Callithrix jacchus: one gene and its partner. The main gene of each other region encodes a partner of the protein of the gene in region 2 in a complex. Links are inferred from orthologs where the notes say so. Each region holds a gene or a part of one and is shown on either strand. Other genes may lie near its edges. The genes, in order: PTH and PTH1R.

Region 1 (4,594 bases), on a different chromosome or scaffold from region 2:
AAATAGATATTTGTCAAACAACAGATAAATGAGTGAAATTTTCTTCTAATAGATATAAGCTTTCTATTTCTTGCAATTTTGAGTTCAGACTAGAACTATGATTAGTGGGTTTTTATGCAGAGGCAAATACTTCTGCAAGTTTCAGACCACTTTTGCCCCCTTTTTTGCTGGGCATTTTATTTCTTTTCCTGAAATCAAGAGGACAACAGTATTTAGCTAGTGAAGATTTGGGAGCCCAAAACCCAGTACTTTGGTAAACTAAAAGGATGATGTTAAAAGTATCCAAATGTGAAACACATGATTAAAAAAATACTTTGTATTGTTCTAACCATTCATGGTCAATGTAAACATTGGGGTGTAAGTCATAACCAAAAAGATACTTGCAATGAGTAAGAAATACTTCATTTATTTAGACTTATAATCATTAATTTTTTGTTTTAATTAAATTTTAGGATCATTAAATTTTAAGGTAGAAGAGAAGTTTGAAAGTGCAATTTTATTCTTTTAAAAATTATGCAACAATGTACTTTAAAAAGAATAAACAATAGAAAAGATTAAAAGAGCTCTTAAATGAATAAAAGTAGAATCAAAATAATCAATTTAAATTGCAGCTATCATGGCTAGTGATGGATTACATGTAGTTTGGTGTGTCAGAAATATTGGCACTTGGAAATCTTAATAGACAAGAAAATCTTAATAGAGCTTTGAAAAACTAGCAGCATGGAGTACTGTTGCCCTACACTGTCTAGAGCAGAACTCTGACCATATCTGTTTTCCTTTTCATTGGGATTTAGCTTTAGTTAATACATCCACATCAGCTTTGTCTGCCTCTCCAAGACTTTTTTCATGGCTCTCAACCAGGACATTGTCTTCCTTTCTTCGGGGCCTTTGGGAACCAGCATCTCTGGGAACTAGAGGAGTACCAGGGGCAACAAAATTGTGCACATCCTGCAGCTTCTTACGTAGCCATTCTACTCTCTCCATCGAGTTCAGATGTTTTCCCAGATTGTGCATAAGCTGTATTTCACTCACAGATCTCTTCCTGGGAAGAAGAGAAACAGAGGGGGCCATTTCCCATTAGCTCCCCACTTCTAAATGATAAAGCCAACATTAAAATCCAGTTCCCAGGCAAAACAGTACTTACTTAACAGATTTCCCATCCGATTTTGTAAGAAAACAAATTGCCAACATGACAATCATTACTTTAGCCATGTCTTTTGCAGGTATCATCTTCACTAAAAAGAAAAGCAAAATGGAGGTATTTAAAAAGATTTTTAATATTTCAAACTATAGTAATGTAATAGTAACTAATTGGGTTGGTTTTCACAAGAAGCTTTTGGAATCAACCTCTTTATTTTATGGATACTTTAGTATACAGAATATATTTACACATAATTTGACTTAGAAATTAGTGTTATGTTCCTAAGAATCTTTTGGAGATTTCTTGCGCAAGCTTTACTATACAAATCTTAAGCCACCAGAGGAATGAAAGAGCTATTTTTGAGACTTCCCTCCTGCACTGCATTTTATGTTGATTATTCCTCAGTGCTTATAATTGCTTGAAAATGGCTAATTTTCTTAATGGGGTAAACTGTTAACACTTTATTTACTTAGCAAATCCTTTTCTTAAGTAAACTTCGTTTCAGGCATTGTAATAATAAACATAAATACCAAACTAATAGGTGCTGTTTTAGAGATTTTCAACTAAATTAATACATATTTCTCCTAGTGTTAAAAATAATGTGTCAAATTATTTTAAAATCATCTAATTAATTACTTGTGATGTGGATTTCGAGCTTCATCTCTAAATGGAATCCTTGTTTGTATCTTATTTCTTCAACTTATTTTATTAAATTATCTTTTAACATAACTTTTTTCTCTTTCCTTGTTTCACATCAGTATAGGATATTCTTGTTTTAATCTGCATTTTGGTACTTGCAAAGGCTGTTATTATAGAAGTGCTTTACCTTCAGCTCAGTATGCTACCTTTTAACATGCACTTAGAGTAATTATGTACTCCTGTTTTACAGGGAATTTGTATCATTTAGAAGTAGCATAGGAAATATAATCTGCTACATTTTTGTTTACAATATAAAGCTATTGATGGAGCAACAGATAAAAATTTTATTTTTTGGTTATGTTAGAAACAAGCACTGTAGCTAGAGGACAGGAGCACTGGAGTCTAATCTTAGCTTTTTCACATTCACCTAGTGACCTCAGGCATATCTGCTTTGCTTCCTTAGGGAAATGGGCTTCTTATAAGAATATCATGAAAAAAAAGCTGAAGAATTGTTGCAGAACACCCTTAAAATTCATGTAATACAATTTCATGAAATTAAAGAAATAAAGTTTTCAGAATAGAACTGTCATTTATGTAAAGGAAATACATATTCACTAGTCAAACTGAGCTTATCCAACTTTAGTATACAGATTGGGCTCTTTATGAGCCATAAAATAAATAATCCAAATAAGAATACTCTGCAGGAAAAATAGAATATTAACTCCACTTAATACATTTATAGTGATTATTTAAATCAGAACTATTCATTCACCATCAGCCTGTTTCATTTCAAAATTTTGATACCGATACTATTTTATTAAAGCATAGCATGACAAATTTTAATGATTTTTTGCTGTAATTTCAGATAAATTTTTAAAAAGCAAGGTATCTCAGGAGACTTTAATCACAAATTATTTTGTGATTTGAGAGTATTTTAGAAGTATTAATTTATTTTGTATGTGGCATTTTATATTAAACATAACTCAATCCTCTTAGCATTTTACCTTGAAGAAGCAACATGGTATTTGTAGAAAAGGAACTCATTAAATAACTTGATTATCAAAAATCTCCTGAGATTCAGAAGTGAATTTTTAAGATTACTTACCACACAGTGTCTTAGAACAATATCTTCTTTCAGGTATCTTTCAGGTATGTTAGTAGTGATATTGAGTAAACTAAAGAAGACTGATAAACTGGTCTGCAGACCCTTAGATGTGACTTTTATATATAGGTCTTCTGCTTACCAAGAGAGGCTCTTTTATTGTTACAGATGATGTCACTCCCAATTCACTGGATCTCAACTATAGGTTCAGAGCAGCCCAATGTGCACACCCATTGGGCGGTGCACACTTTTCTCAAGTTTCGGGTAACTGGATGCCAAAAGGGAAACAGCATTTGACCTGAAAAGGGGCTAATGCAAAGACTTTCAACAAATACAGAATTATACCACCTAGAAAAATTCTACCTGGATTGATGAATCTGAATTATACTGTAAAAAAACTGATTTCAAAGGTTTATGATAAACTCATTATCATATTTGAAAGTAAAATCCAAAAATAAGTACATATGTTATAACTATGCTGTTGGTAAAATTTTTACGGTAATAAGTCATAAACGTTATGCTTATATTACAAGCCATATTCAGCCAATTCACATCACTTCTGGTCATCTTTCAAAAAAACAGAAATAACCCTTTTCTTAAAGGAAGTATTAAAAACAATTTGAGAAAATACTGTTAGCACATAATAACTTTAAAAGCTTCAAAACTGAAATTATTTTAAAATGTATTTAACTTATATTTTATTTGTGCATTTTAATCTCTAATAATAATATTTGATAAGCACTAACTGCATGCCTAACTACATATATTATCCCACTAGATCTTCACAGCAGTCCTTTAAAGTTAGTACTCAAAATACTAAAGGAGGTTCTTATCCCCAGTGTTGCATAAGAAAACTTAGGCCAGGAAAGCGGAAAAGATGGAATTCAACAGAAATCTTTATGACACCAGATTCTTACTACCTCAGTTTCTGCCTAGAAATATAGCCCTTCTTTTAACTCCAGTCTTCTTGACTTTAATTTGCAAAGTCAACAGAAATCACAGCAAAAGCTCTTTGCAACATTTTCCCCCAGGTGTTAGGTCTTTATTCTCATTTTCCCTAGGGGATGATGAAAACCTGCTCCAAAACCTAATGGAGGCAGGATGCTGTCACCTGTCTGACCGCAAATATTGCTACAGCCTGGTCCACCTATCAAAACCCCTTGAATGTCCTTGATATATCTAAGACTCATTTAGGCAGCTTTGCCTTCCCACCAAAGATCTGGTTCCAGAGTGGGATCAGTTCTCTCAGCTCTGGTCCCATCCTGGCTCCATGTAATCCTTTTTCTTAATAGCCATTGCCCAGGTTTGACTCTACCTTAGGCAAGAGCCAGTACACATTTGAATAGTAACTATATGGAGTGTATAATGAGAGATATATGCTAGTCCTGCCCCAGGAAATTGTCTACACTGGGTAAACCTCACTTAGAGCGTTGCTCCACGCTCCATTTTAGAAGTAGTAGAGACAAATGGGAACATATACTAAGGATACGAATCAGTTTGGTCAAAATGTTGAAAAATATAACATGACAAGTAGTTGAATGAAACTAGGTAAGTCTGAGGAAAAAAAGAGGATGACTTTATAGCTATGTTTAATTATTTATAGGGCTACCATAAGGAAGAAGGAGTATTCTCTGTCATTTAAGAAGGAAGTACTGGGTTCATTGAGTTTAATTTGCACATTATAATTGTCAAAATAAGAAATCAAGTACCTT
Region 2 (4,364 bases):
CGGTTCTATCCCCTGGCATTCATCAGTGTTTGGAGTGTCTCTGCAGAGGGTGTTGAGCTCCTCTGAACCTCAGTTTCCCCATCCACAAGGCCTTGTATGGGGCTGTCTTTGGTGGGAAGCCTTTGCCGGGGCCAGAATTGTGGGGGTGTAGGCACAGGTAAGTGGGAAGTGCTGAGGACCACAGAGGAAGGGAGAGCCTCTGATGATGTGATTCTCAGGCAGATGTTTCTTCCAGGTACTCTTTTTAGAGATGGGGCAACTGAGGCATGGAGGACAGCCCAGGCTTACACAGGCATCGTACAGAAGCGAGGAATCCTAGGCTCCTGCCTCCCGCCTGGAGCTCTGCGCTGCGTAGGGAGCTGCTGCTGGTCAGGAGGCGGAGGCAGCCTGCCTATCCAGCTCCCCAGCAGGCAGCTGCCCCGACTGGGGAGCTGGGAAAAGGGGCTTTGAAGTTAGGCACGCAGGCAGACAGCTTCCTCAAGAACGGGCTGGTCCCTTGGGACGGGCTGCTATGGGATAGGACTGAGGGGCTGGGACAGCCCCCTTCCCAGAAAGTGGCCCCTAGACCCTGGCCCAGGAAGCGGAGGTGCTGCCCGCTCTGTCTCCAGCTCTCTGCCTCCAGCTGTCTCTTCCTATTTTTCTTTGCTGTTCTTGGTCTGTTCACCACTCCAGCTCCTGGGATCTCTCCTCCCCAAGCTGCTTTGTCTCTGTCTCTCCTCTCCCTCAACCCTTCCCTACCATTCTGCCTTTAGGTCTCCACTCTCAGGGAGCGAGTCTTCCCAGGGGTCTCCTCACTTCCTGACAGGGTATGCTGTGCTTCTCCTACAGGGGTACGCTGTGCTTCTCCTACAGGGGTGCACTGTGAGGTCAGTCTCCTTCAGGGACCTCCATCCCTCCTCCATGCCACACCACACCCACCTCCTCGGGCAAACAGCTTCTACCCTGGCTAAAGCCAGACATGAGAAAGTGTGTGTGTGTGTGTGTGTGTGAAGGCTGGAGGGGGACCCTAAATCCTACCCCCTGCCTGGATGATTCTGACCTCAAACCTACATTCTCTATGTCTGGGATTGCAACAAAACTTGCAGAAAACAGAGGTCCTCAAAGCAAAGTCTGTGGGAGTACTGGCAGGGCCAAAGCCCAGCCTTCTGCTGGGTCACACTGTCATCTTCCAGGGAGAAACAGCTATGGTGCTCACAGAGGCAGAGGATGGGGAAACCTCAACCACAAATTTCCAGATCTGGGACTCCAAACGAGGCTTCAGAAATAGGGAGGCTTCAGGCAGCTGGAACCCGAAGTTCAGACATCCCAGAGACAGCAGGCACCCAGGATCCTGGATCAGAGGGGACTCTCACCCAACGTTCGAACTGCAGGGGGAACTCAAGACTGCGTGCCCTAGACCTATCCCGGGGACCCCAGGGTAAGCCCGCATCCCGTCCCGGAGTGTAGGCGGCGGGGGACTCACCAGCGCGTACGCGGAGCTGAGCACCGGGCAGCAGAGCAGGAGCGCCAGGCCGGGTGCGATCCGGGCGGCCCCCATCGCCACCGCCTAGGGCCGCGTCCCTCGGGGCAGCCGCCGCCGCCGGCCCTGGTGGTGGTAGGGGGTGCAGAGCTGCGTCAGGCCGGCCGCCCCGCCCACGCCCCGGCCTAGGGGACCCCGGCGTCCGGGCGGCCCGAGGCCCCGGGGCCCGGCGCGGGGCCCATGCGCTGAGGGCGATCGAGCGAGCGAGCAGCGCAAAGGAGGGAGGGAGGGACCGGAGGAAGGGAGGGAGAGCCAGAGGCCCGGCGGGCGGCGGGCGGGCGCCGATCGCTGCGGAGCGGCCCGTCTGCCTCCGAGCGGAGAAATCACATCCATATGGCCGGGCCCCCCGCCCCCGGCCCGCCCCCCGCCCCCCTCCCGCGCCGCCTTTTCTTTCTTTCTTTTTTTTTTTTCTTTTGGGGAAGTGGGAGCTGTGGCTTCGCCCCACGCCCAGTGGGGGGAGGGGTCGGGGTCGCGGTCTGCTGGGGGCGCAAAGGACTGTTATTTTTAGCTCTGCGGCTTTCGCCCGTAGCAAGTCCGGACCGGGCAGGGGGCGCGTTCTGAGCCGCGCGGGGCGTGCAGCTAGGGAACGCGATCCCAACTTTGCAGCCACACTGAACCCTTGGGTGTTCCGGCCGCCAGCCCCCGGCCGCTCGGCCTCCCGAGACCCAGCCCCTCGGCAGCCGCCTCCCGCACGCCTTCCCCATCCTCGGCCCGAGCCCCGCTTGCGCCCGTGCGGCTCGGGCGCGCCATCGGCCCCGACGCTCTGTCGGTCTGCCTGTCTGTCAGTCCGTCTCTAGCTCCCCCGGCCTTGGCCTCAGTTCTTCCAGCGGCCCCAAGCTCCGTTTCGGTCACTCCCTCTCTCCCTCCCTCCCACTTCTCTCTCTACGAAAACATTTGCAAGTTTTCAAAAAAGCCACCGAGCCGAGCGGCGCGGGGCTGGCGGCTCCCCTGGGTTCCGAGGAGGCGCCGCCGACTGACACCGAGACAGAGCAGCCTGGCTGCCCCGGTCAGGCCCGGAGTCGCTCCTCCCCGACTCCCGCCACTTCCCCTCGGCGCGGGTCCCCAGCCCCGACTTACTCTGAGCGCGCCGCCGCGGCCCCCGCCTTGCCATGGATGTCGGGGCCCCCCCGACAGCCTCCCCAAGCCAGCGCCCCGTCTGCGGCCCCGGGGGGACTTCATGGAGCTCTCAGGATCCCCACCCCGGCCGGCCTGGCCTCCAGCGCCCCCCGCCCGGCCGCCGCTCGGAGCCACCGCCCGCCGCGCGCGTCCCTCGCCTCGGCGTCTGCCTCTCCCCTCCCCCCGGCCGGGCGCCTCTTCCCTCCCCCGAGCCCTCCCGGGCCTCTCCCGCCCTCACCCCCTCCGCCGCCGCCGACGCGGGAGTGTGGAGAGGCCAAGAGGAGCCTGCCGCCCCCTGCCCCGGGACATTGCGCTAGAGGCCGAGGCCCGGGGTCGTATGGCGGCGGGATGTGAGTGCTGGGGACGGGGCGGGGGCAGCGGTGACAGCAAGACCCCAGCAGGGAACCGGGACGCCGCCGCTACATTCTCTTCTGGAAAGCACGGGCTTTTCTTCTTTTTTTCTGATCATCCGGCCTCCGCTGGCTAATAGGGACCCTCAGCCGAGAAGCAAGGCTTCTTTCTTCACGGGCGAATCCCCTAGGGAGGCCGCCGGGTACCCCGCGCGCCCCCCGGCGCGGAGCTGTCAGTGCGCTGAGCTCTCGTTCGGGCTGGGTCGGGGTCCCTGGGGAGGCCACTCGGCTGCCAGCCCGGACCCGGGCTTGGCCGCCGCCGCCCTCCCCCACGTCCAGCCCCACCCTCGCCTCAGTCCCATCCTAGGCCGGCCGTTCTGCTCCGCGGTAGGCCGGCCCCGACCCCAGCCAAGGTCTGCAGCCACACATCCCGCTCCCTCCCTGCTCAGCGGCTCTTCGGGTCTGGGTTTCTGAGTCTCCGAGTCTCGACCCATTCGGCTGCTGGCCGGGCCTCTTCAGCTCGCCCGGCCCCAACCCCGGCGGCTTTAGGCTGCCAGACCTGGGGCTCAATCCGGACACCCACTCTAGGGCTTCACCTCCCTCCCGTCTCCACCCCTATTCCCAAAACTCTCGGCGGGCTCGGATCTGCCTGGGACCCTCTACTTAGGGGAAGGCAGGGAGAAGTCCTCGGGGGCTGGGGCTGAACGAGGCGGGGTTTCTGTGCTTGGCTGGGGAGGGCACACTGGAGCTCTAAGAGGAGGGACCCTTTGACCCCAAACCTACCCCCTCCCGGTACCAGGTGGGGAAACTGAGGCGGAAGGAGGGGCCGGGGATGCCTGGAGTGGAGGGCTTTAAGGATGGGGGAGGAAGCCAATGCTTGAGGACCTGGGAAATATCGTTTGGGCTAAGCAGCAGCCTGTGCTTGCCTGCTCACCAATCTTGTGTCTCGGACACTACCACTCTTCAGCTGTCTGGATCTTAGTTTCCTCATCTGCAAAATGGAGAGTTTGGCCAGCTGATTCAAAGGCAATGTTAACTTTCCTGTTTAGTATCCACGAGGTTGGGCGTCCTGGCCCATGGGCTCCAGGGGCTCTCCAGACTCAGCCTGTGGACACTGAGCTCCTCAGAGCCTGCAGACCTGCCCTCCAACCCTCAGTGTGAATCTGCCAAGCCCAGGCCCTAAGGTTTAGGATCCAGATGTTGCCACCCTTCTCCTGGCTCAAGCCTATCCAGCTTCCAGACTGCACCCCTAGCTAGGTACTTTCCCCATGCATTTCTTCTTCTCCTTCCTCCTCTTCCTCTTCTTCTTCTTCATCTTCAAGACAGAGTCTCACTTTGTCACCCAGGCTGGAATGCAGCGGCATGATCTCTGCTCACTT

What was found.
Region 1: the proteins of PTH1R (region 2) and PTH are in contact, whole or in part, in a cryo-EM structure (PDB 9JR3), measured with the Homo sapiens proteins. The link is inferred for Callithrix jacchus from reciprocal best matches to the Homo sapiens genes PTH1R and PTH. Residues at the interface, in NP_000307.1 of Homo sapiens: Val31, Met32, Thr33, Lys34, Glu35, Gln37, Ile38, Leu41, Glu111, Trp112, Asp113, His114, Ile115, Ile135, Tyr136, Asp137, Phe138, Arg146, Arg162, Thr163, Ala165, Tyr167, Val171, Leu174, Thr175, Glu177, Glu180, Arg181, Phe184, Leu187; in NP_000306.1 of Homo sapiens: Ser32, Val33, Ser34, Glu35, Ile36, Gln37, Leu38, Met39, His40, Asn41, Leu42, Gly43, Lys44, His45, Leu46, Asn47, Glu50, Arg51, Val52, Glu53, Trp54, Leu55, Arg56, Lys58, Leu59, Asp61, Val62, His63, Asn64, Phe65.

Annotation. Positions count from the first base shown.
Region 1 is NC_133511.1:79,442,753-79,447,346, forward strand, and holds PTH (parathyroid hormone), read right to left. Parts: upstream 3,073-4,594; 5' UTR 3,025-3,072; intron 1,236-3,024; 5' UTR 1,231-1,235; coding exon 1,145-1,230; intron 1,043-1,144; coding exon 781-1,042; 3' UTR 387-780; downstream 1-386. UniProt on the Homo sapiens protein: Parathyroid hormone elevates calcium level by dissolving the salts in bone and preventing their renal excretion. Acts by binding to its receptor, PTH1R, activating G protein-coupled receptor signaling.
Region 2 is NC_133516.1:29,547,602-29,551,965, reverse strand, and holds the start of PTH1R (parathyroid hormone/parathyroid hormone-related peptide receptor), read right to left. Parts: upstream 2,804-4,364; 5' UTR 2,597-2,803; intron 1,586-2,596; 5' UTR 1,538-1,585; coding exon 1,463-1,537; intron 1-1,462.